Caenorhabditis elegans: one gene and its partners. The protein of the gene in region 4 purifies or fractionates together with the protein of the main gene of each other region. This does not show direct contact. Each region holds a gene or a part of one and is shown on either strand. Other genes may lie near its edges.

Region 1 (8,516 bases), on a different chromosome or scaffold from region 4:
TTTTCAAAAAGAACATTACTGATAAGAACGTTTCCCATTTGAAAATTGGAGATAAGTCTAATCCTTCGCAAGGTTACAGTAAGACTATTCTCAGTTACAAGGGAGAAGCTGCAAACTTGATAAGGAACCTCGAATCCGATGTTCAAAAATGTCAAATTCTTAATCTATTAGCATGGAGCTTTGAACTTTCATACTTGATAATCTTCCTCATAACACCTTTTCCGGCAAATTGAAATTTCCATAGAATTCTTTCTTTACTACTAGTATTTCCATTTTCTCTCTCTCTCTCTTCCCATTCCATGTATGTCCATTAATCGAAAAGGTAGGAATATCCAAAAGTGTGTGTGTATGTCTCTTACTATTTATTTCCATTAATCCGTCCTCGCTCTCTCTCTGAAATCCTTCACCTTCCCCCAGATTTGGGCAGATTTTGTAGTCGTTGCGTCGGTAGAGAGAGAGAGACTGGATTTGAAAGAGAAGGACGAGAGCCGGATTATCGGCACTGATTTTGGATTTCGGGCAGGCAAGCAGCAGCACGGGTCCGATGAGTGGGGGATAATGAGGAAGGACGGGGATTTATAGACTTATTATTGAGATTGGAAGGAGAATGGTGTGTATGTGTAGAAGTGTAGTGATTGAATGGAAAAGGGAAATGTCAAAGATCTGGAGAATGTGCAAAATGGAGAGCGGGAAAGTCTGAATGATGAGCTCGATATCTTCACTATTCTGGAAAACCCCTAACTGAAATCCATGAGCATGAAAAGAGATCTCGGATATTCAAGAAGTTGATCAAAGAGGAAGATTTTGTTCAGCATTCTCATTAGAGCGGGAATACACCTTCAATTCAGAGTTCAATTTCTAATTCGGAATCAAATTTTCTGTTTTTTCTAGAAGTTTGGGAAGACTTCCGGTATTCCACAGTACGCTACGATGCTTAAAAACTGCCTAATTTCCTGTGTGATGAATGTTTTCAGAAAATATCAGCAGAACTTAACAACAAGAAGCTGAAATAGAATGAGTACTGAAATTCTGGACAGTGATCCTCAAATCATTAAAAATCGTGACTTGTTTGAACCTCCAGTCTTCTGAACTTTGAGATCCAAAACCGTTTCATGCCACTTTTCCGAATCATCAATCAAATAATCAGTATTCCATTGAAACTGGCTTCCTCTTTTCTTCTCCCGTCTCATACCACCCACAGAGTTAACTGACGGCACCATACTGTGAGTACAGGGTCTACGTGTCCAAAAAGTGACACTTTTCATCAGTGAAACTCTCTGAGATTTAGATTTTCTGGTTCTTCAAACGATTCTAGACACACACACACAGAAACCGGGGGATGATTCTGATCAATGACGCGACACGTGTTTGCCACTATTTTCCAAGGAATTCGTTTCTTGTCAACAACAATAATACAAATTTCAAAGAATTGTATCATTCTGTCTGCTGTGAAAGTTACGGAAGAAGGGAATTCGTTGTATATTTAAAGATGAATCAATACAATACACAAATACACTTGTTGGGAGAAGAAGACAAGAATATGTTCAAGTGGAAGGAAGGACCGGAAACTTTTCGAAACTAGAGGCAAGGTTCAAGTTTATTGAAATATATGTGGTTTTCAATAAATTCCTCGGAAAAAAACTATGTTTCAATAGCAATCATCGTAAAATAATGCTATTAGTCGGCAGTATGACATTACAAATCTTTTTCTACAGTAGTCACTATTGTGAAAAATGATATTGCAGTCTTTTTTAGATAATCATACATCTTTCTTTTTTTCAAATTTTCAGCCGAACTTTAAAACTTTACCTGGAACGTTCATACTTTTAAACTCTAACTTTTCCAAGAAAACATACCAAATTCTTGCGGGGAGTCGCACTGAGAAAGTAGGCAAATGGATAGGTATACTGTAGCGTGTATCGACATTTCGTTAGCAATGAGACCGACTTGTGAAGATATTGCCAATCAATCCATGTTCCATTGTGCTCGTTGACCTAAAACAGAAAATTTTCAGCAAAATTTTGTAATTTCAATATCCTTACCTTATCATCAATCTTCTTTCTAATTTTATCTCTCAGTTCTTCTTCCATTTTTAACGATTTTGAGTGATTCTCGAATCGTTCGAAATAATGAAGATATTTCTCGAGAGCTCTTCGTGCTTTTACATGATTAGCTTCAGCAGCCACTGATGGATTTTCTTTATATCGACTGCACTCGTAGTATTCACTTCCGTGGCTTTTCCAATCTAAAAAAAATTTAATTTTAGATTAGGTATTGATTTTTTTTGTGCAAATTTTGTAGATGTTATACTTTATTTATTTAAAATACTCGAAAACCAGTCACCGATGTTAGTTTTATTTTCTGAATTAAAACAATATTCGTTAAATTCATGACTAGAAGTGTAGTTCGAGAAGAAAAATTCGCATGAAATTTAAATTTTAAAATTTCCAAATTCCTCACCACCAAAACACATCCAACAGAAATGATGTCGACACCTTGTACATTGAATATGATTACATCCACCAGCTTTTTCAATACAACTATGACATTGTGGACAATCTTTCGTATGAGCACTAATATAATTCGCTGTTTCACTGTCATCTGCACATTTTGTCATCCATTGTTTGATGGTTTCACATGAAGTTGGAGCATGATAGTCGGCGCCACATTTTACACTAAAAATTTGGGGAAATTTCGGAGTTTAGTGACATGGCAAATTTGGATGGAAAAAGGATATACAAAAGAAATGTTTATATACATTATCAACTTATGATATTGGAAAATGGCATTTCTCAAATAACTGTTTATGATCGGTTTTGGAAGGGTTCAGGTTTTAAAAATTTATTATTAAATTAAAAAAAAACTAGTTTCTTTCTACGAGACCTAGAAGATTGAAAATGTTCGTACATTGAAAAAAAAATTGAGAGTTAATTTTTCTAGAAATACAATATTCAATAAATTTTGATGAGTGGGTTTTGAAAAAGAACAGATTTTTCTGAAACTTGCCGAATAAAATAAGTCATTTAAAAATGGAAATCGGAAGCAATATTTTTGTAAAAAAGGCATTTTTACGAAATTCACCGAGTTTGGCTGCTTTAAATTTAGAAAAAAAGTGTAAAAACTCACCAAAAAGAAGTATGACACTGCATGCAAGTAACTCGTTTTGGCTTAACCTCCGTTGATCGTATAATCACAGGACACTCATTTCCAACACAAAACTTCAAATGTGGATGAGAATTTACCATATCTCTGAGCAAAAATCGTTCATATTTCAGCTTTATCACCGGTGAATTTTTAATAATCGAGAGAACGAATTCAGATGGTGCATACACTTCACATTCAGATTCCATACATTCGATTCGTGATGCAACGCCTTCTGATAATCTGGAAAAAATATGGAATTTTTTGAAGATACAAATAAAATTTTGAAAAAAAAAACGATTTTTCTGTAGTTTAGTTTTCAATCTTACAAAATCTATTTTCTATTTAATTAACTGATTATATTTATTAATGAACACTAATAGTATTCAGTTGAATCGCTGATCTAAAAATTTGATAATTTTAAGTAAACTTTTGGCAATAGAATTCCGAACACGAATATTTCCATAAACTTGTAAAATTCAAAAAAATGTTGTCAGCATTTTTTGATTATTTTGCTTTTTTTTGGGATTGTGCATTTTTTTTGCATTATTTCCTTTTAAAAAATTTCATGCATTTGTGTATTTATTTTCCCTTTTTTCTGAATTCTTGAATTCTCCGGAATTTCTTTGTATTTTTTTATTTAAAAAAACACACCAATCAAATAAGAATTTTTACAATAATTTCGGTTATTAACTTTTGAAACAGACGTTTATTTCTGTTAGTTTTACATTCAAATGTGCAAACCCCTCCCGATTTACCTAGATTCAACATGACTCTTCCAACAGTGTTCACAAAAACAGTGTCCACATGTTAAATGTGGTAATTCAGTATATCCATCCATAGCACATACACTACAGTAACCCTTTGCTAACACTGATTGAGTTGACGATAATTTCCGTTTCGGTTCGGGTTTTGCGTCGATATGACATTTTCTCAAGAAATCATTTCGATCATTTCGAACGAGTCGAGCTATTTTATCAACATCCCAATGATTAGCTTGTAAGAGTATTCTAGCGAATTTCTCATTTATTGAAATTCTGGATACAAGTGAATTTACACCGTCGATGAATACCCGTTCGACCTGAATTTGTTCAGTTAAATTAATTTTACAATGTGTATACAATTGCTTACTTGATTTACAGAGAGACACTCATAATCAGCTTCCTCTGAATGTGTCGGTGTCACTGCCACGTCATCAGCGGCATCTACATCCGCTTCGTTGTAGTAGTCTTCTGGAAATTAATGAAATTTTATAGTATTCAAATTTTTTTTGGTAAAAAAATTTTTCCAGGAAATCGACAATACAATCTGTAGATAATTAATCATTTATTTTTAAAAATTTAAAAATTGGTTGTGAGAGAAAATAAAAAATGGGGTTTTTCATATAAAGAAGAAAAATTGACAAAATTTCAATTTTTCCGGAAAAGCGGCACTCTTGCTCTGAACTTTACAAGCCAATTTTTTGAATTTTTTAATATTAAAAAAAATCATTAGATAGTTAATAAAAAGTTAATTCAAACACAAATTTTTGTAGTTATATTATGGTTCAAATTTTTGTTTTTAAATTTTAAAAAATAATAACTTTTCCCTGATTGTGAAGAAAATCGAAATATTTGTTTTTTAATCCAGGTTCCTGGCCAGAAAATTGAAATTTTTTCCAGAAAAATGTTCCTTTTAATGCATTTTCTGAAAATATCTACTACTTTTAAAAGCGAGAATGTTTTCAACCAAGAAAATTGTGATTTTTTGCAGAAAATTGTTCATTCAAAATTAAAGAAAATCGAAAATTGGAAATTTTTCAACGAAAAATCTAGAATTTCAGTTTTTTTTTCAAATTTACAATTATGTTTGGCGATAAATATTTTTTTTTAAATCAGCTTAAATCTAACCATCTCCATAACCGGCATAATCATCCCCGGACGTGCAGCTCATGTCTTCATCGTCCATTTTCTGCTTTTCTGAAAAATTAAATTATAATGATGTCTGAAAAAAGAACGAGAAAAGGAAAAAAAACAATCTAAAAAAATATTTTAAACCAAAAACTACATCATTGAACCCTAAAATTACACTACTAGTCTTTCAAATTATAAAAAAAGTGGCAAAAAAACTAGGCGCTTCTAATCGGCAATTATTACAGCATCAGCAGCAACCGCCACTCTACAGTAGTCAACTGAACCTGCCAGGTTTTCGACGTCTGCGTCTCTATAGCCTCCCTATACTATCTCGCTTATTTGTTTCCTGCGCGTGTTCATTCGTCTTCACCTCCAAATATTTCAAAAGCAAATCGGTTGGAATAGACAGAGAGAGTGTATGAGGGGTAAAGTTTCCGGTCTGTGTTATAAAAACTGAAAAAAGGACGAAAAGAAGAGGAGATAGAGAGCTTGTGTGTGAGCAAAGAGATCGGATTTGTCGTCATGGAGATTTTTGAGACTCGAAGAGTGGGAAACGATGGAATCTGAGAAAAAAAATATGAGAGAAAATGAGGAAGGAAGTTGTTATCAATTCTAATTTTTTCAACAAAAAAGAAATTAAAATTCAGTGAAAAACTGTAAAAAATATCTGATTTATCTGAAAATATGGTTGATTCCAGTTGGAAAAATTGAAAAAGTGATCAAAAATTGTTCGAGGAAGCAGCGAAATTCAGATAACTTTAGCACACTTAGCGATAATATTTTTAAATACTTTGTCACTAAATGTTAGCGTTTGTAGAACTCCAACAAGACCGTGTGTCGATTTATGCAGCTAGTGTACTCCTCGTGGAGAAGTGTATTTATTGATTTTTTCAGAGAAAGTATTTGACAGTTTTCTGGTTGAAATACGTCATTTTTAGCAAAAAACTTTATTAATTATTAATAGAGTTTGGGGTAAAAAACCCATGTATTAATTGATACTAAAAAATTTAAAATTAAAAATTTTGTTTCCTGTAGTGTTCATCAGTAAATACGTCGGTTTTAACTGAAGTTACATGAATTGAAAAAGATGCAAAAAAAAGGCGAAAATGTTCAAAAATTAAGTGTTTTAGCATAAAACCAAACTAAAATCTGAGCTGATTTGTTTAAATTTAAAATCTAAATTTTAGGTGTTCGATTTTTTTCAAAAAGGTTTTTTTTTTCAAAATTAAAAAGTTCAACGAAATAAAATTCAAACGTACATAAAGTAATTCAATACCTAATGAAAATGACCACTTTCAACAAGTGTTTCCATAAAATTAAGTGAAACGTGCACAAAACTAGAAAAAAAACTCTTCGATGTGCAGTCAAAGCTGATCATTGAGCTTTTCTGCGACCGCAGGAAAATATTTATCATTAAAAAATGAATGAAATGTGATACATTCTTTTTTTCCTTTTTTTGGCTGGAAATATGAGGATGAGAAGTGTCGAAAGTGCTTCTGCTACTAATGGTTAAGGTCATATAGTTTGAAAGGACACGAAGGGTTTACTTTGTGAGTTTTGGAATTACACTTTGAATTATTTAGAGGTATGGGAAAAGTGGCTAAAGGGAAAGATTTTTTTGGGATGAAAATTGCAATTTTTAAATGATAAAGCTGTGGGGGTTTTGCCCTGTGAATGAAAGAAAACAGCTGTAAAAATACCGAATAAACTTTGAAAATTTATTGGATTTTTCTAGATTTTTAATAATTTTTTTTTTAATTTTGCGAAAAAATCAGAAAAATAAAAATTATTTTTGAATTACCGGGCAAACGAATTACGTAGTTTTTGGCATTTTTGCCGGTTTTCGGCTATAGATTTTTCGTCTCATTTTTTCTATGGTTTGTCAGACATAAAAAAGCCCCACAAAAACTACTCCACCACAAAAAACTTCAAACGTATAGTAAAAGCTTGGCTTGAAACAGTTAATTCAAAAAAAATACCGAAAGTAATTGTATAAACACCCCTACGCATATACACATTTCAATCACGAGTAGAAATTGGAAGAAGAAAAAGAAACAGCAGTAGCAGCAGCGAGTGAAATGAGTGAGTGCGGAGAGAAAGAACGAATTGATCGGTCGCCGGGGCGAACAAGAAGGAACAGAACACTTTGATGGCCGAATTGTTTCAAATGGATTTTTCTAGGCTGCCGGTGTTCGGTGGGATTTCACATGCTTTTTAATGCATACTTTTACACATTTTCAAGATTTTTCTTCTTTTTTTTCTCATAGCGAGTAGTAAGAGACGCAGGTTTATGGAGAAAGAGACAATGTTTTGACAGCTTTTTCTTGTATATCTATGTATGTGTCTGAAGAGAAGAAATGAGAAAAAAAATGAAAACACGTGAGAATCTGATGAAGACGAAGAGAGGAAAAGGCGAAAAAACGGGGAGAGAATTTACATCAGTTTGATGAAAATTTTATATGAAGAGCGAAAGATTTTAGTGAGTTTTTCGATGTACATGCATACTTTCAAATGTGTACTAGAACTGGAGCAAAATTTAGAATTTGAAAAATTGGAAAAATCTCTTTTTTTTTTGCAATTCTTCAATTTTATAATAAAGAGTTTCATAAAAAAAAACGTTTTTTTTTAAACATAACTAAATGTTTTTTTTTTCAATTTTCTGAAGCTTACAGAAAATTATCTGAAAATAACTCCAATAGTCGATTCAAGACGAATGATTACTAGATAGCGGAATTATTTTGAATAAAATTAATGTTTATTTTCGGCTTCAAAAAGTAATTTCAACCGAATAAAAAAGCTTATTGAGAAAAAAATGGAACTACATATTCCTTAAATGCGATTCGGGGGAGAAATACGAGCAGAGATCCAAACTGAAAACTGGGAGATCTTGAAACAATTGAAAGTTGAGTATCATGAACTCTAAAACTTAAAGCAGATGTTGACCGTGTTCGAAGAGGAATTTTAACATCAAAAAAGAAAAAAAACAAACATTTAACAAGGAGAGGGGATAATTGAACACGATGGGTTTAAGGATGAAATGGAAATAAGAAGAATTAGACATTCTTTTTGATGAAGAAAAGTTGAGTGACAAAGCTTATCGGCTGATCAACTTCTGCTCTCATCTCGATATGCGCATTTCCGGGAACCACTAGATCTTTTTCGTGAGCTTTGTCCGAAATACCAAAGTATCGACAGCCCGGCGATGAGAACGGAGTCATTTCGAACATTCCTATGTCGGCTTCGTAACAAGTGAGACCTTCCGTTTGACGGAGCAATCTGAAATATAGTTTTTTTTTCATCAGATGACCAGATTCTGCCTACAAACTCACGTCAACTTTTCAATTTTGAACCCGTCATCACTTTCGATCAGAGTGAATTTTGGCAAAGAAAACTGCTCCTTTTCGGCCAGATTACAGCGAAACTCAATGTCAATTCGATATAAGGCGAGAACAAGTCGACCCTTCCCTTCCTCGATCATCTTCT
Region 2 (7,219 bases), on a different chromosome or scaffold from region 4:
TAGTGGGGCAAGGAACCCGTGAGATGTCGGCGGTTAGGGTCCCAATTTTGGTGAATTCCATCAATTAGGGGTGTCGGCAAATCACTATTTTCTGCGAATGCCAATTTCAACAACGATTTGACAACGACTAACAACAGTGTTGGCTAAAAATAATTCAGCAAAATTTTGACTATTTTTATGGTGAACTTGCCCGTATATGAATCCATTTTCACGTCAGTTTTTAATAAGAAGCTTTTAACTTCTTTACTCCAAACAAACCATTTTTACGACCGTGCACCTTTGAAAATACCGTAATATGTTCGAAAGTTCAGGTGATTTTTGATTTTGATAGTCTGAGAATTAAAAAAAGTTCGTCGTTTGACAAATGACCGGCAAGTTAGGCAATTTGCCGTTTCTGATCTACTGCGCGGTATTCAGCTTTCAATTGTCAAAATAATTTTACAAAAAGCATTCCAGGAGTGCGCTGCAATCAAAATTGAGGCAATTTCGGTAATTGCCGTTGCCAAAAAATTCCAAAACCGGCAATTGCCGAAATTGCAGGTTGCCGATAAATTCCGATTGCCGCGCACTCCACGTAAAGCCATTTGAAAACATTCCAGTTTAACAGAAACCCATTTTTGAAAATGGACTGAGTTTCCGAAGTTTCGATGTTCTGAATGTAATTCATATCATCTCGGCAAAACGTCGCAACTTCATAGAATACTCCTGCAACTTAATAAAAACATTTATATAACTTTGTAAAAAGCTGTTAAGAAGTTGCGAAAACCAACGGGATTGTGAGCGAAATTTAGCTTTACATCTACTAAGAAATTGCAAAAGTCGTCTGAAAAGCTGCAGAAGTTTGCTTAAAAGCTAAAATGTCTAATTGTTGTTAAGAAGTTGCAAGAGTATGCTATGAAGTTAGGCCGTTTTGCCGAGATGGTCACATTAACTTTATTTTGCTAATTTCTTTGTCACAGTTTATTGTTAATTTATGACATTGACAAAAACTCTTTTCTAAAAACTAAATGGGGTCATCTTTTCGATCAACAAATCAACTGTACCAACTCTGAAATTTTTGAATTTTTTTGTAGAGCTTAATTTTTAAAACCAAATTTCATTGGGTGCCCCAGGAAATTTTGTTTTTTCGTACCGTGTTAGTAAAGATATTATGATCCAAATCGTTTTTTTCCAGTTTTTTGGCACATGAACTTTGAAAACGAAATATTATTATTTCATCAAATTTTATCTAGATTCAATTTTTAGGCTGACGTTTCCTGTTGAGTGGACGCCAAAATGAGCCGTCCTAAAAAGCATCCTTATGTTTCAGCGTGCAAGCCGCAAATCAAAAATTCGACATTGATCTCATTAGACACTTTCCTTGCAAATCAATCAATAGTTTTTGAAATTTCGATGGCCGTCGGTGAGCGGGGCTATCCGTTTCCCTTTCTCTCTCTTGAATGTTTTCGTCGCGTCAGTGGAACCTGCAGATAAAGCAAATGAGAGAAAAAGACATAGAGCAAACGACAGCTTTACACTATGATTGTCGAGTTCTGCCCCGGGGATAGGCTCTCCTCTGCCACAGCGACTCCTCTCCCGCCCTTCATCTATCTGCGGTACTTCATTCCCCCGTACACTGTTCCAATCGGCGCGCGCTCTCTTCAGGATCAACACACTGTTCTCACACACACACACACGGGAGGCAAGGAGACAAACTGGTGTCTTACGGCTATTGAGCGGCAATTCAGTCTTAGTCTCACATTTTATGTCCAACAGAGGCTCAGCGAGCAACGAACCCCACGCAAATATCTTCCGATCTCTTTGCGTCCCGGTTTTGAAACGAACGTTTATTGAAACTTTTTGAAAGTTAGATTTCTCACTTTTTGTTAATTTTTTCGAATTGTTTTTATTTATGACGTCTTCCCCATATTGCCGTATTTTCTGAAAATATCAAAAAGTGGTAAATTGCAAAACTGACCAAAAATGAAAATTTTGTTAAGAAATAATTTACCTGCTGTGGCTCTAAAGTCTTTTATATATGTTTTTTTCGAATACTACATTTAATGTAACAAAACTGGTGTGCGTGTACGTGAAAATCTTGAAATTTAGTAGGCATCCACTTTGAGGATAATTTTCTGAGGAAATGCCAAAAATCAGCACCCCAAATGATATCATGGCCGGACATCTACCGGGATTCGGTCTTGCAATAAGCTAACTCACTACTGATGGAAGCACAATGCGGAGCGTAACCCGGTAGATGTCGAGTCATGATAACACTTCTGGTCCCGGTTTTTACAGTATTCCTAAAAGTAACTATCCAATTGTGGGTATTTCAAATTTAAGGATAAAAATACTGGGCCTATTCTTTCTATCTTTTTTTGAATCTCAGACAGGTTTTAGATTTGAGACCTTTCTAGTTAACCTCAATAATTAAATTCTCCAGTACTGGTAACAAGAAATCTCAAGGTTTTTTATTTGCTCTGTAATTCTTGGCTCAAACTCAAACTTTCACTGATTTCAATATTGATGTTAAGCACCTGGTCGTATTAATTTAATGTTGCTATAATGCTTTGTAAAAGTTGAGAAATTTGAAGGTGGCACAAATTTGTAGAAAATTTTACGTCATTTTCTAAAACAAAACTGCTATAAAAATAACTGCCGCTTTCCATCTAAAAGTATCCGCTGAAAATTCTAATAATATTTTATAGACATCGAATTACCTAACAACGAATTATAAAAAAAATTTTGTTGTAAAACCAAGTTTTAGCTTCTATAAAACCAAGTTTTAGCTTCTCCTAAGCAGGTAGTTAGACCTGATTTCATAATCGTTTACCAGACATGCGATCAGATATCTAATCAACATGTGTTCATTACTCATCTCTCCAAACTGCTATTTCAAAATAATTTCTTCATGATTTTTTGGAAAACGTCAGAAACCAAGCGTCATCTGTTTCCATATCTCTCTCTCTTTCTCCCACGCACTGCACAATTGTGCCCCGTTTTCCACGTTTTGAGCTTCTAGACTTTCACTTTTACTTTCAAAGTTTTCAGCACACACAAAACGAAAACATGTCGTGGTCTGATATTATCAACAATAACCTTATCGGGTCTGGAAATGTGAGCAAGGCTGCCATTCTTGGATTCGACGGAGCTGTATGGGCAAAGAGTGATAACTTTAATGTAAGTTTTCAAAGTTTTTAAAATTGTCAAGTTGCCAAAATCTCGACTTTCAGTGGCATGATCAGCTTGTGATTGGTGTTAGAACTTTTTTGAGATATTAAAACTGGAAAGGACTTGCAATTTTCTTAGGCTAGAATTCTAGGTATTTCTCTAGGAATGCAACTCCTGGTCGATACACCACCTCTCTTTGAATCTCATCTCTGATCTAAAAACACTGTAAACTTCTATCAAAATCTATATTTTGTCTGCACCAGTTTTGAAAGATTAGTACATGGTGCATTGACAGATAATGAACAAATACCGCCTGCGTGAGTTTTGTTACTGAAAGCATATTTAGCTTGTTATAAAAATAGTCTTCATGTAGGAAAGGTGTGTTGGTGTACTGTAGAAGTACTTTAGTGTTACTATTGTTCAAAAATACGTTTTATCTATTGAAGGAATCGTCGGTGAAGATGGTGTAGGAATATTGTAGTGTAGGATTATTTTAGTCCTAAAAATAAGGTTTCGTTATTTTTTGGAAAACATAAGTTGAGGCTAGAGTCGGGGCACTGAGCACTGTAGTAGATCAAGCAGTACAATTTGAATAGTAACGTATTTCCAGATCTCCGTCGAAGAAGCCGTCGCCGCAGGAAAAGCCTTCACCTCCTTGGTACCTTTTGCTTCTCTTAATATCATTCTCACCCTCTAATTTTCAGGATGCTCTTCTTGGAACCGGCCTCCGCTTGGAAGGACAAAAATTCTTGGTCCTCAACGCAGATAATGACAGAATAATTGGAAAGCAAGGAGGATCTGGATTTTTCATCTACAAAACTATCCAAGGTGAACTAACTAGGATTACTAGACTGATTTAAACAATCTCTGAAACTTTTAGCCGTTATTATTTCCATCTACGAGAAAGGACTCCAACCAGAAATGTGCAGCAAGACCACCGGAGCCCTGGCCGATTACTTCAGGTCCATCAAGTACTGATCACAATTCCCGAAGCCTCCTGCCGATTTGCCATCCATGTTTGCATTTTTTTTTTTGTATTTTTTCATTTCGTTTCTTTTTTATATAAATAAATAATGAAATAAATATTTATCTTTCTCAAAATTCAAAAAAATAGCAACTCGAAATAAATAATATGAGGTGAAAAGCAAAATAAAGCGGGTGGTTTGATTTCCGAACAAAAAAAGTCAAGAGTGATATGGAAAATAAATTTGGGAAGATGTCATATTATACAGTTTTTGAATTGGGTCCGTGTAGCTTGAAGTTTCCGAAGTCTCCACCTCGTCAGCGTCCAGGTCTGAATTTTTTTTTTGATAAGAACAATTGTTTGAATTCTAGAAGTCTATAGTTTTAGCCCTTTTGGTTCAGCTATCCGGGACTGACCAACTGAACAATTATGTAAAAGTATAGTGAAGCTTAGGCCGATCTTGCTGCAAATTTCGAGTTGGGCCTGCATCGCCCGACACCTCACCGGTTATACAAATCTATAGGAATTCACCTGGCATGGTTAGCCGACACAAGCACGGACCGTATCGGCTAGCCGTACCATGTGTACTACGCGTGAAGCCTTCTTGAATTTGATTGTTTTAAGGTTCGCAATTTTGCCGGGCTCGGGAACCCTCATATTCCCAAAACGTGGATCAATCTATTTTACACCGGATTGCTAGTCAAGAAAAGATTGACCAATTTAACCGGACTAACATAAGTGTTTTCGGCGTGCAAAGATTAGAGCTCTGACCGGGCTTCTCAAAATTGCCGATTGTTAGAAACTTTCAGCATCACCTGTGGTCTAACTAGGTATTCGAGAATAGACAAAAATGGTGTAGTTTAGACTGATATACACCAGGCGTGTGTAATGTTTCTTTTGTACCTATAGCTCTCGATACATTACGGAACAAACTTTCTAACTTTTTGAAAAACTGATTTCAATTTGTAAAGCCACAACTCGCCAATATCTATACCTATTCTCTTCAACTTACTTATCACAGACTCTTCCTCATCATCAGAGCTTCGAATGTCTTCCGTGCTCCGTCCCTCACTTCCAGGCCCGTGTTTAAATGTATCCCCTGAATCCGAATCTTTCTTGTTCAGCTTCTTGATCTTCGCCCTCTGATTTTGAAACCAAACTTGCACAACACGAACACTGAGGCCAGTTTCATTTGCGAGTTGCTCCCTGACCTGCAGAATTATTTAGAATAATTTTTTTTGAATTCAGAATTCTGTCAGCCAACCAACCTTTCGACTTGGTTTTGAACTTCTTTCAAAAGCAGTCTTAAACTGTCTCCGTTGCTGAGCATTGAGGATCGTTCTTGGTCGTTTTGGCGTTTTTCGGTGGATTTCTGACCGTACTACTTCTTCCATGAGAGGGTCTGGATTTGATACTGAAATTGCAAAAGTTGTGAAGGTAAGGGTATAGTGAAACTCACTTGTTTGAAAATTACAAATGGACTGGTAGTCATTCCGACAAAATACTTCTCCATCGAATACATGATATTCATCACCCTGCAACAAAGTTAGTCCTGATAATTAAATAAGCTCCAATATTTTTTCAAGTATTACTAAACGTTTTCAGTGCTCAGACTTTTAATTCCTGAATTAGGAAATAGTTATTCCTTACAAATCACATTTTACAGAAAATCAACATAAAGGGAGCCTATAGGTCAGCTCTTTCCGCAGGGAGTTTCCAAAAGTCCAGGGTAACACAGGTAAAATGTGAAATATTATTCACTTACATTTTGAAAAACGATTGAAAACTTAAATCACAATATTTTATCTAAAACCAACTCACCAGATTAAATGGTCGTTGACAGGAACAGCAGCTGAAACATTGCGCATGATAGTACATAAAATGTACGCGATGGACAATGTCAGTTGGCAGAAGCAGTGTCATGCATCTCCGGCAACGCTTCCCATATAGCCTGAAAGATTGACATATTGGAGACATCTGCCTATAAGGGTGTCAGGAAGCTTCGCGCATTACATAAGATTCTGTGGAAATAAAATATTGAAAATGCGTTAACTCATTTTTAGTGAGGCAAGTTACTAATTTGTTTCATAATGATTTTTTTTTTAATTTTGTTGGAAAACATTTTTTTGATTGCTCTGGACCTTTTTTGTGAAGAAATTGGTTTTTAAGAAGTTTGAAACAAAGCTCCTACCAAATTATCCTGTGTTCTTATCAATTAGTGTGCATACATTACGTGAATTTTCTAAGCTTCTTGCTAAAATTCTCTTTGATTTGAACCTTTTTTCCAAATTCAAATCGCAATTTCTTAAACACCAAAACGCTTGAAGCGAAATGTGTGTTAAATCAACAAAGCACTACGGTAGCAGGCAGCCATCTCATTTCGCGCATCTGTCTGGAATGTTTGTTGTTTGCAAATCGTAAAATTCATTAGAAAATGGAGATTTTCATTGGCACTGACCAAATATTGCATTAGCACGGGTCAGAATATTATTTCCTTTGAACATTTGACTTTAATATTTATGCAACTGGCTAAGCTTTTGGACTTAAAAATCTAAGCTCTGCACCAAGGCTGCACACGGTTTTTGATTTGGTAGTTATGTAGCACATGCCTTAAAGGTACAGAGAATTAGGTAGGTACATGGCCTAGAATGCTAGTTTTGTGTAGTAGTCTAGCACAATGTTCAAGATTTTTTTTCAAACATTCGTGAAATTTCTTGCTGTAATCTCCCAACTTTTTGGGTTTCCCTAGCCTCATACTACAGCGTCTTCTTCCAAAACCGGTCACAAAACAGAAAGAGAAGCTCTTGTATACATTGACCTGGTTGATTTCTTATCCAGGTGACCATGTCAATGATTCACTTCAACCACTAATCCCTATATGTATGTTGCAATAATCCACGGCCCTTGAGTGGGGCTCCACCTCCACCTACTTTCCCGGATTACTGTGCTCATAAATTGAAATGCAAGAATTAATTTTGAACAGAGACGTTAATTTTTTTGATATTGGGGTAATAAAAATACTGGCTTTTTAAGCATAAAAATGTTTCACCCCCCCCCCCCCCCCCTCCCCTCATTTGTGAGAACCCAAAACACGTTTGCCTGGGT
Region 3 (8,544 bases), on a different chromosome or scaffold from region 4:
ATCAATTTTTTTTGCGAAAATTCAGCCCTAAAACGGATTTTACAGATTTTTTAAAAACATTTCTGTGTAAAAAAGGTGATTTTTGGGTGAAATTTCGTGTAATTTTTGAGCCAATTTTCGAGAAAATCGGCTTCACGCTAGTCAGGCCAATTTCTATGTCGAATTTTCATGTTTTTTGAGAAAATTTTGAGCAAAAACTAATTCCGGGCTAATATCACCGATTTTTAAGCAAATTTTCAACATTTTTAAGCTAAAATATGGCCAATTTTACTGGATTTAAACTAAAATTTCAGCATTTTCGAGCCAAAATTCGCTAATTTCAGAGTAATTTTCACATTTTTAAGTGAATTTTCAGCACAAAAATCAAATTTTTCAAATTTTACTCGATTTAAATTGAAATTTCAGCATTTTTAAGCCAAAATTCCTGTTTTAACAATTAAAATTGAGATAAATCTCGGTAATTTCTGACATATTTAGGGCCAATTTTACTCGATTTGGACTAAAATTTCAGCATTTTTAAGCCAAAATTCGCCAATTTCAGAGTAATTTTCACATTTTTAAGTGAATTTTCCGTACAAAAATCCAATTTTACTCGATTTTAACCAAAATTTTAGCATTTCGAAGCCAAAATTTTACCCGCAATAGAGATCACAATCAAAATTGAGATACATCTCGGTAACCAATCCGGGAATTCTCCACAACTGAACAAGTGACTCCAAAGCCATTTCTTTTTGCTCCGTTCCACCACCACCGTTTTCATGCTGCTTTTCCTCGGTGAGCACAATCGATTGAAGCTTCTTCAAATAGCTTTCCAACTGGAATTTCATGTGCATTCTCATCGATTCAAACAGCAAAAAACAGCAGCGATTTGTGGCGGCGAGCACTGGTAGGCGATTCGTGTCGAGCAGTTGGAGCAAATTTCGACAGAGCTCATTTTTGATAAGTGGCATGAGAATATCGTAGTTTGGAAGGAAGTCGGCGATGGCTTCCAGAGCAACAATGAGCAAGTTTAAGCCGAGAATTACCATTGATTCAGTATTGTGACGGTCAACTGGGTTGGTCATTGTGATGAGGAATCTGGAAAAAAAAGTTGGGATTTTATTGTGAAAATCGACTGAAAATCCCAAAAAAAAGCTGGTAGATTTGGATAAAAATTGGCTGGAAATTCGGAAAATTCACAAATTTTCGGTGAAAATAGTTCCGAAAATGTGAAAAATTCTAGATTTTTTAGTGAAAATTAACTGAAATTTTGGAAAATTCACAATTTTTTGGTGGAAAATAGTCGAAATCTTGGAAATTTTAAATGGTTTTCAGTGAAAATTGGCTAAAAATTTGGAACATTAACTATTTTTTCGGTGAAAATAGTCCCGAAAATGTAAAAAATTCCAGATTTTTCAGTGAAAAATGACTGAAAATGTGGAAAATTCGTGATTTATCTATAAAATTGGCTGGAAATTCGGAAAATTTACAAATTTTTAGTGAAAATTAACCAAAAATGAATGAAATTACCGTCATTGAAAATCGACGGTGAAAATAGCCCGAAAATGTAAAAAAATGCTCGCTTTTCTCCGTGAAAATTGACCAAAAGTATAGATTTTTTACGATTTTTGGTTAGAAATGGCTGAAAATTTAGAAAAGTCTGCGTTTCGCGGGTGAAAAATGACCAAAAATGTGTAAAATTGAGAGATTTCCGCCGAAAATTGGCTGAAAATGCAAAAAATTCCAGATTTTCTCGGTGAAAATTGACCGAAAATTTGGAAAAATCCTGATTTATTCAATAAATTGGCTGGAAATTCGGAAAATTTACAAATTTTCGGTGAAAATAGCCGGAAAATGGAAAAAATTCCAGATTTTCCAATGAAAATTAACTGAAATTTTGGAAAATTCACAATTTTTTGGTGGAAAATAGTCGAAATCTTGGAAACTTTAAATGGTTTTCAGTGAAAATTGGCTAAAAATTTGGAACATTAACTATTTTTTTTCGGTGAAAATAGTCCCGAAAATGTAAAAAATTCCAGATTTTTCAGTGAAAACAGCCTGAAAATTCAAAATTTTACAGCGAAAAATGACTGAAAATGTGGAAAATTCGTGATTTATCTAAAACATTGGCTGGAAATTCGGAAAATGTACAAATTTTTTGTGAAAATTAACCAAAAATGGATGAAATTACCCATTTTTCAGTGAAAATGTGAAAATCGATGGTGAAAATAGCCCGAAAATGTAAAAATTCTCGCTTTTCTCCGTGAAAATTGACCAAAAGTATAGATTTTTCACGATTTTTGGTTAGAAATGGCTGAAAATTTAGAAAAGTCTGGGTTTCGCGGGGGAAAAATGACCAAAAATGTGTAAAATTCGAGATTTTCTCGGTAAAAATTGACCGAAAATTTGGAAAAATCCTGATTTATTTAATAAATTGGCTGGAAATTCGTAAAATTCGCGATTTTTCGGTGAAAATCGCCTTGAAAATGGAAAAAAATTCCAGATTTTCTCGTTAAAAATTGATCGAAAATTTGGAAAATTCCAATAAAATCGCTGAAAATTTACATAAAAATTTTTTTAAAACATTTTCAGCTTCCAGAAGCTTAAAATTGCACTTATATTAGTTAATTTGAGTCAATTTTTCCATTTTCCAACCAATTTTTAAAGCATTTCAGATCAAAAATCGGGCTTTCAGGGGCGATTTTTCATACCTCAGAGGCTCTGATTTTTAATTTTCTGCATATTTCGAGCGTCTCTGAGTTGAAAAATGGATTTTTTTTTCTGAATTTTGGCCGTTTTTTTTGCCAGTTCTAGCCGAAAAAGCACCAGAAATTTACAATTTTCAGCTCCTAAAAGCGAATTTCAACCAATTTTTGCACTTTTTCAGCGAATTTTTGAGCATTTCAGAGCAATTTTTCATGAAAAACGGGCTTCCAGACAACTTTTCAGTACCTCAAAAGCTCTCTACAACATGGGAGCCCATAGGGCATTTTTTCTTCTCCTCCAACAGTTTGCTCCGTATCGATTTCCTCTTCATCCGACACAATTTCTCTCTGTAATCCAGCGTGAGCCCGAACGGGGGGACGTTCGTGATGCTCTTCACCGCCACCGCCTTCTGATTCTGAATCGGCTTCATCTCCGGCTGAAATTGGCTCAGCAAGCTTTATGATTTCTTCAATTGGTGGATCCGGGTGGGTTACTGTATCGACTGGTGGATCCGTCGTGAGCACTACGTCGTAGCCTGTAATTTTGAAGCATTTTCAGGGCTCAAATATACAGAAAACTGTTTTAAAATTGAAATTTCAAGCTATTTAGAGCACTTTTGGGGGCTTTTTTCGCACAATTTGGAAACTTTTTTAGAGATTTTGAGTTTAAAATTGACAGTTTTGGAGCATTTCTGGAGCATTTTGAAAGCTCAAAATTTCAGAAAACTGCTCAAAAACCCAAAATTTCAGGAGTTTCAGAACATTTTTTGGGTTTTTCAAACAGAAATTCACAATTTCCGGGGATTTTGAGTTTGAAATTGCCAATTTTAGAGCATTTTGAGAGCTCAGATGATTGGAAACAGTCTAAAAAACCGAAATTTCAAGGAATTTAAATTTTTTTGAGCTTTTTTGCCCAAATTCGCAAATTTCCGGAGATTTTGACATTAAAATTGGCATTTTTGGAGCATTTTCAGAGCTCAAATATTCAGAAAACTGCTTAAAAATTGAGATTTCAAGCTATTTAGAGCATTTTTTAAACCAATCTTGCTCAAATTCACAAATTTCCGGAGATTTTCAGTTTAAAATTCGCAATTTTGGAGCATTTTGAGAGCTCAAATTTCGCAAAACTGCTGGAAAACCTGAAATTTCAGAAATTTCAGAGCATTTTTGAGGCGTTTTTTAGTTCAAATTGACACTTTTTTTGTGCTTTTCCGGTTAATTTTCATAACTTTTACACATTTTGGAGCATTTTTCGTGCTCAAATTTCGATTTTTCGAGAGATTTGGCTTTAGAAAATGGTTTTTTGTGCTAAAACCCGCACCAAGATTCGCTGCTCCGTCAGTTTCAGCAGTTTCTGCAGCTTCTCCAATCAATTTTGTCATTTCCGTTGGCACATTCTCCGGTTCCTTGGCCTTCGTCTCAATATGCACTGACAATTGACGCTTTTTCTTCCGTTTTTGTCGTTTTTCAGTGGGATTTACCTGGAAAAATCGGATTTTTAGAGGGAATTTCGGCGATTTTCAATGAATACCAGCTGCCGAATGTATGGATGACGGGTGTCTTCGACAAAAGTTGGCAATCTGGTGAAAATGAGCTGTGTCATGTCGGCTAGCGTCGATTCGGCGGCCTGAAAATTGGATTTATTGGTTGAAAATTTGATTTTTTCGGCTGAAAATTGGATTTTTTGACTAAAAATTTGATTTTTGGCTGAAAATTGGATTTTTTGGTTGAAAATTTGATTTTTTTGGCTGAAAATTTGATTTTTTTTGGTTGATAATTGAATTTTTTGACTGAAAAGTGGATTTTTTTACTGAAAATTGAATTTTTTTTGGTTGAAAATTTGATTTTTTGGTTGAAAATTGAATTTTTTTGGTTGATAATTGGATTTTTTGGCTGAAAATTGAATTTCTTGGCTGAAAATTGAATTTTTTTTGGCTGAAAATTTGGGATTTTTCAGCAAAATTACCTTTCTAAGAAGCAGAGAGAGGTTCTGCTCGAACACAATTCTGAAACAAGACTGCATCATATCACAGACGGCTTCATTAGACAAAAGGATGCCTGGAGGGGAGAGAAGCAGCGAGCGGAGCACCTGGAAAATTGAGATTTTTTGAAATTTTTAGAAATTATCAGGTTTTTGGAGTTTTTTTTTGTGAACTTTCGGCGGTTTTTAGCAGCGCCTGTAAAATCTAAAAAATCGCGAAAAAATACGAAATTCATTTAAATTTTCATATTAAATTTTTTGCGTTAAAAACCTGAAAATCATGGTTTTTGGGAGTTTTTAGGTGTTTTTTTTCAATGAAAAATTGGTTAAAAATTTCTGAAAATTCGAGAAAATCGGATAAAAATGCATTAAAATGGAGTGAAAATCGATTTTTTTTTTAATTTTTACCATGAAAAATTGATTTTTATTTTCGTTAAAAACCTAAAAAATTCCTATTTTCTGCGATTTTAGGGTATTTTTCTGGAGGTTTTCTGGTAGAAATTTGAATTTTTGACGAAGTTTTTTGGCTAAAAATTGGCTAAAAACTCTGAAAATTCGAGAAAATCGGATAAAAATGGACTAAAATTAATTTTTTTAAAAATTTTTACTATTTAAAAGTTTTGAAATTCAATTTTTTTTCCTAAAAATCGTTAAAAAACACTGGTTTTAGTTTAAATTCATGAAAAAGTAATGCCGAAATTGTGAAAACTTTAGAAATTCCGTGTAATTTAGAATTTAAACGTCGAAAAATACGAAATCCATTTAAATTTTCATATTAAATGCATTTATGCATTTTTTTCAAGCGTTTTTATTGGAAAAATGGAATTTTCAAGTTAATTAATGACAAATTTCTCTTTTGTCTATAGAATTGTGGATTTTTCACAATTTCCATAGAAAAAAAACTTGAAAACTCCATTTTTCCAATAAAAAAATGCATGAAAAAATGCATAAATGCATTTAATATGAAAAATCAAATGAATATTGTATTTTTCGCGATTTTTTAGATTTTACAGAAGCCAAAAATCGCTAAAAAATTTAAAAATTTTTTAAAATTTCATAATTGAAAAACGGTAAAAATAACATAAAATTCATCCAAATTTGCACTTCTAATGAAATTTTGGCACATTTCTAGCAAATTTTGCGTTGATTTTTTATGAAAATTGACCTTTTTTCTCGAATTTCTGAGAAAAAGACCTGAAATTCTTAGATTTTCACATTTTAACATGAATTTTCAGCACTCCTGGTACCTGTAGAATCTTAAAAAGGACACATTCATCACTTCCAGTGCTTTTCCCGCCGATAAACTTTGTATGAACCACAGCGTAGGCGATAGACTCGACAGCGTTCGCCGCCTTAATACTGCTCGCGTCAATGAGCCCGTAGTTCAGAAATTTGGCGACAGCGGCCAGCGCGGCTTCCGTAATCGGTCCATTCGTGTTCTGAGCCTTTATTACGTCGAGAAACGGTGATAGATACGTTTGTGGATTCATATCTGCCAGATCGGCAACCTCATTCAGCACTTCCTTGAGATCTGTGAAGTTTCGCAGCAGTGGATCCGTGTCTTCGAGCGTCGGCACTTGTGACAGTTGGTATTGTCTGGAATTTAGTATTAATTTTTAATTCCAAAAACGCAAAATTAATTTTTTTGAAACAAACCTCCGAGCCTTATTGAGCAGCGCGACGACACAATTCGCCTCGCCCATCACGATGTAGACGCCGTTGGTCGCCATCTTACACTGACGACGACCTTCTGAAGTAATTATTTCGATTATAAACGGTTAAAACTATAAATTTATGAACATTTCAAGAAATTTGGCTTTGAAAACGGCTTTTTTGGGTGAAAATTAGATTTTTTGGCTAAAAATTGAATTTTTCTGCTAAAAGTGGATTTTTTCTGCTGAAAAGTGGATTTTTGGTTGAAAATTGAATTTTTTGGCTGAAAATTTGATTTTTCTGCTAAAAGTGGATTTTTTCTGCTGAAAAGTGGATTTTTGGTTGAAAATTGAAGTTTTTGGCTGAAAATTTGATTTTTCTGCTACAAGTGGATTTTTTGGCTGAAAATTGATTTTTTCTGCTGAAAATTGAATTTTTCTGCTAAAAGTGGATTTTTTCTGCTGAAAAGTGGATTTTTGGTTGAAAATTGAATTTTTTGGCTGAAAATTTGATTTTTCTGCTAAAAGTGGATTTTTTCTGCTGAAAAGTGGATTTTTGGTTGAAAATTGAAGTTTTTGGCTGAAAATTTGATTTTTCTGCTACAAGTGGATTTTTTGGCTGAAAATTGATTTTTTCTGCTGAAAATTGAATTTTTCTGCTAAAAGTGGATTTTTTCTGCTGAAAAGTGGATTTTTGGTTGAAAATTGAATTTTTTGGCTGAAAATTTGATTTTTCTGCTAAAAGTGGATTTTTTCTGCTGAAAAGTGGATTTTTGGTTGAAAATTGAAGTTTTTGGCTGAAAATTTGATTTTTCTGCTACAAGTGGATTTTTTCTGCTGAAAAGTGGATTTTTGGCTGAAAATTGAAGTTTTTGGCTGAAAATTTGATTTTTCTGCTACAAGTGGATTTTTTCTGCTGAAAAGTGGATTTTTGGCTGAAAATTGGATTTTTTGGCTCGATTATTAATTAAACCTATAAATTTATGAAGTTTTCAAGAAATTTGGCTTTGAAAACGTGGAGAAATTGAGGTTTTCTTGCGAAATCCGGAAGAGAAAAGCGATAAAATCAAGTGAAAACGACACGTCACGTGCACCGTTTTCTGGTGTTTTGTACGCAAACACCGCCACGGCAGAATGCACAGCGAGAATGTTTTTCGATTTTTTTTTGTTTATTATTTTTGTTTTTCGCTCTTAAAATGTTTTAAAAAGTGTTGAAATTCAATTTTTCACCTAAAAATCGTTAGAAATCACTGGTTTTAGTGTGAATTCATAAAAAGTCATGCCGAAATTGTGAAAACTCTATGAATAATGTGTTTTCTCCGTTAAAAAAAGCGTCAAAACTTGAGAAAAACACATCTTTTTCCAGATTTTCTGACAAATATGGTCAAATCAAAGGGCTTGAAGCTTCTCTGGAGGTTTACAAAAGGTTTTTTCTCAATTTTTCCTCCGAAAACTGCATTTTAAACCCAAAAATTCCAGGAACCGCCGCTTTTTACTGCGTCGGACACTGCATAAGCAAGTACATCGGGGAAATGGTGATCTGTAGTGGTCCATCGATGCATCCGACGATTCATGACGGTGATTTGGTGCTCGCCGAGCGATTTAGTAGGAGTTTTTTGAATGAAAATTTCACATAAAAGTGGCTGAAATTTCAGGTATTCGCAATAAAAACGTCCAGGTCGGAGATATAGTGGGATGTGTGAATCCGCAGAAGCCTAAGGAGCTTCTGTGCAAACGGATAGCTGCAAAAGTTGGTTTTTCGCTTGGAAATCGTGAAATTCATGTTAAAAAACTTAATTTTCACTGAAAAATTGAAAAAAGTTGGTTTTTTTGCCTCATTTTTAGAGCCATTTTCCGCGACAATGGTGGGAAAAACCTGAAATTCAGCAATTTTTTTTTACAAAAAAAAGCAAAAAAAATTGATTTTCAGTTTAAATTTCAGGAAAAAAGTGTAAAAAAGCGAATTTAAGTAGTTTCAACCTGAAAAATCACAAAATCTCTAAAAAAAAAACGCAAAAAATTGAAAAAAAACTGGCTTTCTACAAAACTTTTTGTAAAAAATCTTTGAAAATTCCATTTTCAGCCATAATTTCAGAGGAAAAACCTGAAAAAAAAGCATAGAAATATCTGCAAAAAATGCATTTTTAGCCGAAAATCTCTTTAAAATACCCGATTTTTCATCAAAAAACTACCTAAAAAGTCGCAAAAAACGAGGATTTTTATGGAA
Region 4 (8,338 bases):
ATAAGTAGTGTGTTGCGTGACAATAATTTTCGAGTAAATGTTATGAGAATTTGAAGTTTTTTGCTACCACGGGCAATAAAATGTAACTGATGTTTTCAAGGATGCCTACGCCTACCTATAACGGTCAATTTTCGGCGGTAGGCAGGCAGGTAGGCAGGCACGTTGGCAGAGCCTGCCTAACGTGAAAACATTTTTTTTTAATTCCAAAATGTCAAAATTGGGAATTATAAGTAAAACTGAAAATAGAAAAAAAAAGAAAAAATATATTTTTTTGAAAATAAAAATTGTATTACGTAAATTTGGAACAAATGCATGCTCTTCTAATAGAGAATTTTCTGATGGCTCTTTCTGCAAAAAAAATTCAGTAGGCATGTAGGCAGCCAGGCAGGCATTCCTGTGCCTTCAGCCTATTCAAATTCAAAATTCATTATCACAATGGTCCAGGCCTCCCAAAATGTGTCCCCAAAATCCCGAAGGAACCCTAAAGCAATATTCAATTGTGTATCTAGTGTCAATTCAATGAATTAATTTTCCGCCTCGTTTTGAAATTTGTCGTTTAGGGGTGATAAATTTTAGATGAAAGTGTAAAAGAGGGGAAAATGAAGGGAACACTGCTTTTTGGCCGTCAGCTGGCACTTCTCTTCTCATTCCAAATTTACATATGTCCTTACAAGAAGAATTGGTTCATCAATACTGATGGGAAATTGACGGGGAAAAAGTTGGATTTTATAGGTTTTACTGGAAAAAATATTTGCCTGCCTACTGCCTACACATTTTTGTAATTTTTTGTACAATTTTTCGATAAAAAAATTCAAAACAAAAAATTTTTTGACCGAGCTGTGAATATCTTATTTTCAATTCCTATATGAAATGTTAGAAAATAATTTGAAATTATAAAAAAAAAACTGTGCATCGCCCAGGTACGTTTCTTTTCAAGTGGTTAAGAAAAGTAGGCAGGCAGGCATTTTTGGGCCTACCTAGAAGGCTCACCTTCAACATCGTAAGTGGGGACGTACTATAGATCTTTTTTATAATAAATCAAAATGATCGAATGTCTAAATGAATTGCTTTAAACAATTTCAGATTTTTCAAAATTTTTAGGCCTAGTTTTGGTAAATTGTCAAATTTCTGAAATACGATGACTTTTTGAGATATTCAGTGCATTGCTTGACGTTTGAACCCCTACAATGTTAAAATACAAACAATAATGGTCTAATTAAATTATAAAATCGTAGAAAAAAACTTTTTTTTTTGGTCGACTTCCAAAATTATGACTGAATTTTTACTAGCTTTTTGACTAAAAATTTCATTAAATTTTTTAAATAAAAAAAAATTTCTTTGATAAATAGGTGTTTTAGTGACATATATGTAGGTGGTTTAAATTAATATCCCATATCAAAAAAAAAAGTTGTTTGGAAAAACAATTTTTGGTCGACTTCCAAAATTATGATCCAATTTTTCACTGTAAAAAAAAATTTCACAACATTTTTGAAATTTTTTCTGTGATATATGATATGACATTTAGCCATTTTAACACTATAAAAGCGGTTTAAGCAGTTTGAAAAATTAAAAAAAAAACGTTAATACCTATAATTCTGTGTCCTCAGCGAAATCACCAGTTCCTGAAGTTGTCTGATGGTGTTCGAGTCGATCACGAATGATTGTTGCAAATTTTTGAGGAACCCAATGAAGTGTGACGCGTCTTCTGTTTGAAGACACTGTAAAAATATGGTTAATGTAGGCACAGGAAAAGCATGCCTGCCTGCCCGCACCAACAAAAAAATAGGCGGTAGGCACGCACGCAGGCAGGTAGACATTAAAAATTGTAAAATCCACATTCTAGAAAATTTTTATATTACTTGAGAAGTTTGATATCTAAATTTGAACTTAAAGTTGGTTTTTCTCAAAATCAAAACTTAAAAAGTTTAAACTGACATAACTTTTTTGCCAAAACTGCTATTTAAAAACTCCAAATACAGAAATGTTCAAAATCATCTCTTAATTATTTTTCTGTTGACAAATTTTCTATATTTCCTACGGGAACAAAGTTACTTGCAATAAAAGACCGATAAACCTCAGCCTTTTTGATACGAGAACAATGATGATTGGCAAAGGGGTGCTTCAAAGTCAATATGAAAACAAAAAGCATAATGGGAGGTCGTGGAGGGGGAACGGCGAGAATTTCGATAATATACGGGATAGTTCATTTGATACTGTCTGCGTCTCGCAGGTTCTTGTGTTATTTTGTGGGTTTTGAGTTTGCCCTCATTGAGGTGTTGGGAGGTGAAAAATTATAAATAAACAGATGATTTATGGAGAGTTTGATTAAATAAATAAATGAATGAATAATTCAACTATTTCAATAAAAATTCATGAAATTTGATCAAAAACTAAGAATTTTCAATGTCAATTTTTTGAATTCTTTAAAATTTAGGTGTACAATTTCGGTGTACTTGATTTAATCAGAATTTAAAAAACGGAAAAATCCATAAAATTTATTTGTAACAATAGTTTGGATCATCCATTTTTTAATTAATTTTTCCAAATTTATTTAATTAAGAAAAGTTTTAAACATTCATTTGTTCCTATCATTTAGAACAATTTCAAAATGCAGGCGGAAATAGGTAGATATTGAAAACGCCTGAAAACGCGCCTACAATAAATTGAAGCAAAAATTTGCCATTCGTAATATTAAATTTATTTTATAGTCTGCTTATTTTTAAGCTATTTCTAAACTGCTAAAATTTTAATTGAGAAAGCAAAAACAAACAATTATCTAATTTTTACTTTAAAAAATGTGGTCGGTCTCTACCTTCGGTTCATAACCTCTCGTTTTACAATGTAGTTAAATTGGCACACTCCTCACACCCCAATAGTTGTCTAAGGGAAGGTCTACATGTTCCTTTAAATTGACCTAATTTCTGTTCAGTCATGCTTTTTATGATGAGAAGCACTTAAAAAAACATTTTTACAAACTAGCGGAATGAATTTTAGAAATAGAGTTTTTTTTTAATTAAAAAATTTTTCAAGTAGGGGAGCAGAGGTATAACTGGAAATGTTTGGGTCTGAAAATTTTCTATCAAAATTAACGTCTGGAATTTTTATTTACCGTATTTTCTCTATTAGTATTGCAGCCTCTAATAGTATTGCATGCAAGACTAATAGAGGAAATACGGTAATAGTCTTGCGCCTCTATTCTTGCCAGACCAGCAGTATTTTGTCAAAACTTCAAAAATTTGCCATTTTTTAGCTAAATTAAATTTTAAAGTGTTCAAATAATTGATAAAACAATAGAAAAGAATGTATTTTGCACGGTTTAGACAGTTTCAAGCCAAATTTTTGACGATAAATTATCAATTTTACAAAGCTATTGGATCTTCGAAAATTAGTCTTGCAGCCTCTAATAGTCTTGCAGTCTCTATTAGTCTTGCACCCCTACGGGTCAATCGAAAATTAGTCTTGCATGCAAGACTAATAGAGGAAATACGGTAATTGATATTTTTCCTAAATTTTTGGTAAAAAAATATTGGAAACTTTTTAAATTTGAAGAAAAAATAGGTAACGTCCAAAAACGAAAAAAAATCTGAATATTGAAAAAAAATTCTGAAATTTTTTTAAATTAAATGTAATTAATGGTTAAATTAAAGATTTTTGAATTTTTTGAATAACAATATTTTTTTAATCTTACATGTTGTGAAACCAGTAGTGACATTTTCTTTTCCATCGAGTAATTGTGCATTTCTTGCTGCTTTTCCTCGTTCAAACCGAGCTCTTTCTGAAAATTAAAGTTTTTCTATTAATTTAAAACTGTTTTTAAGATAATTAAATTATCGAAAAAAAAAACTTACAACAAGGCACTCAAAATCTTTATCAATTTTTGCAGGATCCAATGGGGCTGGAGCAAAAATGACGTCATCATGCACATGCTGCTTTCCGGGATCGTCTTTGTCACTGGAATAAGGATAAATTATGATAATATTAATTTCTGAAAATTGAAAAAAATTGGCGCAATATTTAAACATTTTAATTTAGAACATTTGTCCCGAAGTCCAAAAAAATTTTCAAAAAAAATTAAAGCAAAATTCAAAATCAATTTTTTTGTCAAAAATTTCGGCGCGAAATTCAAAATTTATTATATGTTTTTTTACCTACCGATCTCTGTAAAAGCAGGACATTGCTCTGTCGACCCAGTCTTCAATGTAGTCCATTTTCTAACAGTTTTCTGTGTTTTTTCTTTGCAGTTGGGAATTGTGTGGATATTTCTGCAAAATGAAGGAAATTTGTAACTGAACAAAAAATACGGAATTGAGAAAGGAAATGTGAACGGAAAGAGAGAGAGAGAGAAAAGGGAAATTGAAGTATATGTAGTAGTTGTACTGTATAGATTTTCTTGAAAAATTCGAGAAATGTATACTGATAGGAAACAAAAGATAAACTTGAAATTGAACTTTAAAAAATTTCAAAAAGACAGGAGTTCAAAAATAGGCAGGCATGAGGTAGGTAGGTATGATGTGTGGTGTTTTCCAGCAAGAAAAATTTCTAAAATTGCGTTTTTAAATTTGAAAAAAATTCAAAAATTAACATTTTCTTATTCGATGTAAAGTTTAAAAGGTTAGAAATTATTCAAAAATTATTGAAAAAAAATTATTAGCATGGTAAAACGCCATATTGTCTGCCGCCAAACCATTTTTTTTCGGTAATTTTAAACCACTTAAAATGCAAGAATAAAAAGATCAGATTTCCAAGGAATCGCATTAAAATTAGCATTGAAAACTGCGGGGATTATCACAGCAGGAGAGCTACTTTTTGACAATTTGCCACGTTATTTCCATTTTCCATTTTCCGGCCAATCCAAAAAAAAATAGCAGATTGAAAATAGAAACAGCAGGTGGTATAAGCTTCAGTGAAAGTTTTTAAGCTAGCTAGATTGCAGGCGGATGGGTTTTTCGTTGGCAAAAAAATCTGGAATTTTTTCACTGCAACTATGAAAAAAATTAGAAGAGTTTACAAATTTCAGTAAGAGCTTCAATTTTTCAAAAAAAAATTCTCTTGGTGTTTACATGAAAAGATTAAGGTTTAGGTAGAAAGTTTTACGTGATTTTTTTTGCGAAAATTTTTTTTTGTAAAGTTTTTTTTTATTTACCCGGAAAGCTTGATTTTATCAAACAAAACATTGATTACACTTAAAAAATTGAAAAAATGGCTGAAAATAGTCAAAAGCTGAATATTTTTTCCGAAACATTCAAAATAAAAAAGAAAAATCAAAAAATGTAGTGAAAAATTTACGAGAAAGCCCAAAAAAATATTGTCAAAAATAATTTCTGATTTCCTTTTTAAAAAGAATAAAATTATTTCAAAAAAGGGAGAAATGACAGGAAATTATAAAAACCGGATTGTTTTTTATATTTGAAAAAATGTGTTTTTTTAGAAATTTCGTAAAACGTTTCAAACCCCTATAATGTTTCAGGGCAACTAATTAAAAAATCATTAAAATTTGGAAAAAATCAGGATTTTCCCACTACTTTTTACTGTAAATTACAAAAAAAAATTCTAACATTTTTTGAAAAGTTTTACTATGATTTTTGGATTTTTCCTACCACTAAAAATAAATTTTTGTTGGAAAACCAAACATCTGGTTTTCAAAAAAAACGAAACAGTAGTCATTAACAGTACTCCCATTGTTTCAAAGAGTTGAGTTTTTTTTTCAAAAACTGCCGAATTTTTAAAAATTTTAAGCATTTCTGCAGGGTTGAAGCCTGGGAATATTCTAATAAAAATAGTTTTAAAATTTTTAAAATTTAAAATTTTTAAAATTGGAGAAAAAAATTTTAAATTAATTTTTTTTTGGTCGACTTCTAGTAAAATGAGTTTTCACTACTTTTTTGCTGAAAGTCAAAAATTTCAAAAAAAAATTTGAAAAATTTCACTAGGATTTTTGGGCATTTTAGCAGCATATTTTCAATTTTTATAGGCATTATTAACAATAAATTTTTGTTGGAAAACCAAACATCTGGCAATAAGCTATAAATTTGTTGGGATAAATCTGCATAAAATCAGCAAAGCTTTATGGTTTCGGGTGTCGGTTACGGTTTACCGCGCTTCGGTTGGCATAATGTTTTGGTCAAAAGAGAAAAGACACCACCCAGAAGCAGGGGAGTGTACTAGAGAAGGTAAGGGCCTGGAACAGACAAACAGTATGTGTCTGTGGAGAAATTTGACACTTTTTGGAAGGAGTGCAGGGGGGGGGGTAAAGTACGACAAATTGAAAAGAGAAAAGGTGTTGCTGTTGTGGTGATGAAAACAAAACACAACATTTGTGAGAGCGGAGCCAAATTGAGATAGAGTCTAGGTACACTGATGTAACTGTGGCCGAGGAATATAAATCGGTGGCCAAATTTTTTCTGCAACTTTTTCCTGCGTTTTAATGAGTAGACGTTAATTTTTCAATTTTTGAAATTACATACACAAATTAAAAAGTGCTCAAAATCAACTGAATTTAAAAATCAAGTGGGTTTCATATGCAGGTAGGTAAGGCAGCATGGAGGCCTATCTGTCTGCATGCTGCCTTATTTTTTTGTTGGCAATTTTCTGTTCCGTTTAAAAATGCAAAAACAAAAATTTGAAAAATGCCAGAAAAAAACGCACCAAACATTTTATCTCCCGTAATTTTTAAGAATGTTAATAACCCCCTGAAATGTGCCAAAAATGCTTCAGAATTCTTAACAGTGGCTAATAATTGAGCTGAAAATAATAAAAATGCAAAAAAAAATTGCAAAAAAATTCCTTGACATGTACTTAAAATACCAAAAAAATTCTGAAAATGCTTAAAAATGTATGACAAATTCCAAAACAATGTTTCAAATATGGCTAACTTTAAAAAAAAAAAGATCAAAAACATTTGGTGAAAATGCCAAAATAAATGCATGAAAATGTGCCCGAGGAACCAGAAAAAATGTGCCAAAAATACCTAAAAATGTCCTTTTAAGAGTTCCAAATATGTCCCAAAAATGCCAAAAACAATGTCACAAAGTTTCTTAAAAAGATGCTTGAAATACCACAGAATGGGCTAAAAGTGCCAAAAATGTCCCAAAATTGGCATTACTATGCTAAAAAATGTCTCACAATGTGCTACACATACAAAAAAAAGTGTGCCCAAAATGCCTAAAATATGGGCAAAAAATACCAAAGCGCGTGCTAGAAATTCCGAACAATGTCAAAAAAATAAAATTCAAAAAGATAAATTTTAAAAAAACACGTCAGAACAAAAAACGTTTCTGGAAAATTTATTTTCAGATTTTCTAAATTTGAAAATTTAAAGGGTGCTCAAGCGGAAGTGAAGCGCACTCAAGATTTAATTTATGCATATTCCTTTCAGAAAATTCACTTTTTAGAAATAAAATTGGAATAGGTTCATAAAATCATGCCTGCCTATTAATAGGTTCATAAAATCATGCCTGCCTGCCTATTAAAATCATGCCTGCCTATGTGACCTACGCCTGCTTTCACACCTACTGCCTGAACAATCAACCATCACCAAATTTCACGGCAGAGGCAACGGTATTTAACGAAAAGTTCTGAGTTAAAAAAACGAACAAAAATTTTCGAATTGTTTTCATTTTTCAATTGAGCACAATTGAGCAAAGAAATGCATAAGCCGCACCCTTCCCTCCAATTCAGCTCGTAGTTGAAATCAATGCGTGGAAGAACAAAAATGCTGGTGGTGGTGGGGCACCCGGTTTCTTGTATTTCCTGAACAAACAACAACAATTGAGACGAGGAGGAAAAGAAAAGGAGAAGAGGAGGATCATAACAAAATCAAATAAAATTGCTCGACAAAAAATTTTAGAAGACAGTCTGTAGTGATGGTCAAGGTAAAACGGGAGAGTAAACGGGGGAGGTTTTTCGTGCCGAGACCCACAAATTGAGACATGGTGCATCGACTTTTTTTTTAATTTTCAAAAAAACTTTCAAGCATTTATTGAGTGTTTTATGAAGTTTATATTTTTGTGACTTGAAAAAAATTTAATAATATTTTTAAGCGACAAATCATTGGATTTTTCAAATTTTTTGAATTAAAAAATATTATTTCAATATTTTTTAGAAACTTAAAGCATTTTTTGAGTGTTAAAACATCAGTTTATATATTTGTTAACAATTGTTTTCTTTTTTAAGAAATGGAAAAACTCAACTAACCTAAGCCTACGCCTAAGCATAAGCCCAAACCTTAGCCTAATCCTAAGCAAAAGCATAAGCCTAAGCCTAAGCCTAAACTGGGGCCTATAGGCCTAAACCTAAGCCTAAACCTGCCATTTTTTGAAATTTTAAGATTTTCAGCGTT

What was found.
Region 1: the proteins of daam-1 (region 4) and ari-2 fractionate together in Caenorhabditis elegans (co-fractionation; one large-scale study listed by BioGRID). This does not show direct contact.
Region 2: the proteins of daam-1 (region 4) and pfn-3 fractionate together in Caenorhabditis elegans (co-fractionation; one large-scale study listed by BioGRID). This does not show direct contact.
Region 3: the proteins of daam-1 (region 4) and gbf-1 fractionate together in Caenorhabditis elegans (co-fractionation; one large-scale study listed by BioGRID). This does not show direct contact.

The regions. Positions count from the first base shown.
Region 1 is NC_003282.8:5,547,717-5,556,232, reverse strand, and holds the start of ari-2 (putative E3 ubiquitin-protein ligase ariadne-2), read right to left. Parts: upstream 5,100-8,516; 5' UTR 5,089-5,099; coding exon 5,031-5,088; intron 4,374-5,030; coding exon 4,273-4,373; intron 4,223-4,272; coding exon 3,900-4,222; intron 3,385-3,899; coding exon 3,127-3,384; intron 2,676-3,126; coding exon 2,461-2,675; intron 2,246-2,460; coding exon 2,043-2,245; intron 1,995-2,042; coding exon 1,857-1,994; intron 1-1,856. Other genes in the region: cec-6 (Chromo domain-containing protein), read right to left, coding at 8,087-8,309, 8,363-8,516. UniProt on the Caenorhabditis elegans protein: Might act as an E3 ubiquitin-protein ligase, or as part of E3 complex, which accepts ubiquitin from specific E2 ubiquitin-conjugating enzymes, such as UBC-2/UBE2L3, and then transfers it to substrates.
Region 2 is NC_003284.9:1,076,455-1,083,673, reverse strand, and holds pfn-3 (Profilin-3), read left to right. Parts: upstream 1-3,024; 5' UTR 3,025-3,048; coding exon 3,049-3,159; intron 3,160-3,760; coding exon 3,761-3,808; intron 3,809-3,854; coding exon 3,855-3,978; intron 3,979-4,030; coding exon 4,031-4,128; 3' UTR 4,129-4,244; downstream 4,245-7,219. Other genes in the region: LIM/homeobox protein lim-6, read right to left, coding at 4,335-4,444, 5,127-5,325, 5,383-5,528, 5,574-5,649, 5,936-6,065. UniProt on the Caenorhabditis elegans protein: Binds to actin and affects the structure of the cytoskeleton. At high concentrations, profilin prevents the polymerization of actin, whereas it enhances it at low concentrations. By binding to PIP2, it inhibits the formation of IP3 and DG.
Region 3 is NC_003281.10:11,767,267-11,775,810, forward strand, and holds the start of gbf-1 (Golgi-specific brefeldin A-resistance guanine nucleotide exchange factor 1 homolog), read right to left. Parts: upstream 6,416-8,544; 5' UTR 6,396-6,415; coding exon 6,322-6,395; intron 6,262-6,321; coding exon 5,913-6,261; intron 4,774-5,912; coding exon 4,651-4,773; intron 4,312-4,650; coding exon 4,216-4,311; intron 4,166-4,215; coding exon 4,006-4,165; intron 3,221-4,005; coding exon 2,932-3,220; intron 1,078-2,931; coding exon 637-1,077; intron 1-636. Other genes in the region: immp-1 (Peptidase S26 domain-containing protein), read left to right, coding at 7,698-7,743, 7,797-7,922, 7,973-8,067. UniProt on the Caenorhabditis elegans protein: Guanine-nucleotide exchange factor (GEF) for members of the Arf family of small GTPases involved in trafficking in the early secretory pathway; its GEF activity initiates the coating of nascent vesicles via the localized generation of activated ARFs through replacement of GDP with GTP.
Region 4 is NC_003283.11:79,563-87,900, forward strand, and holds the start of daam-1 (FH2 domain-containing protein), read right to left. Parts: upstream 4,271-8,338; 5' UTR 4,209-4,270; coding exon 4,153-4,208; intron 3,952-4,152; coding exon 3,849-3,951; intron 3,776-3,848; coding exon 3,689-3,775; intron 1,719-3,688; coding exon 1,588-1,718; intron 1-1,587.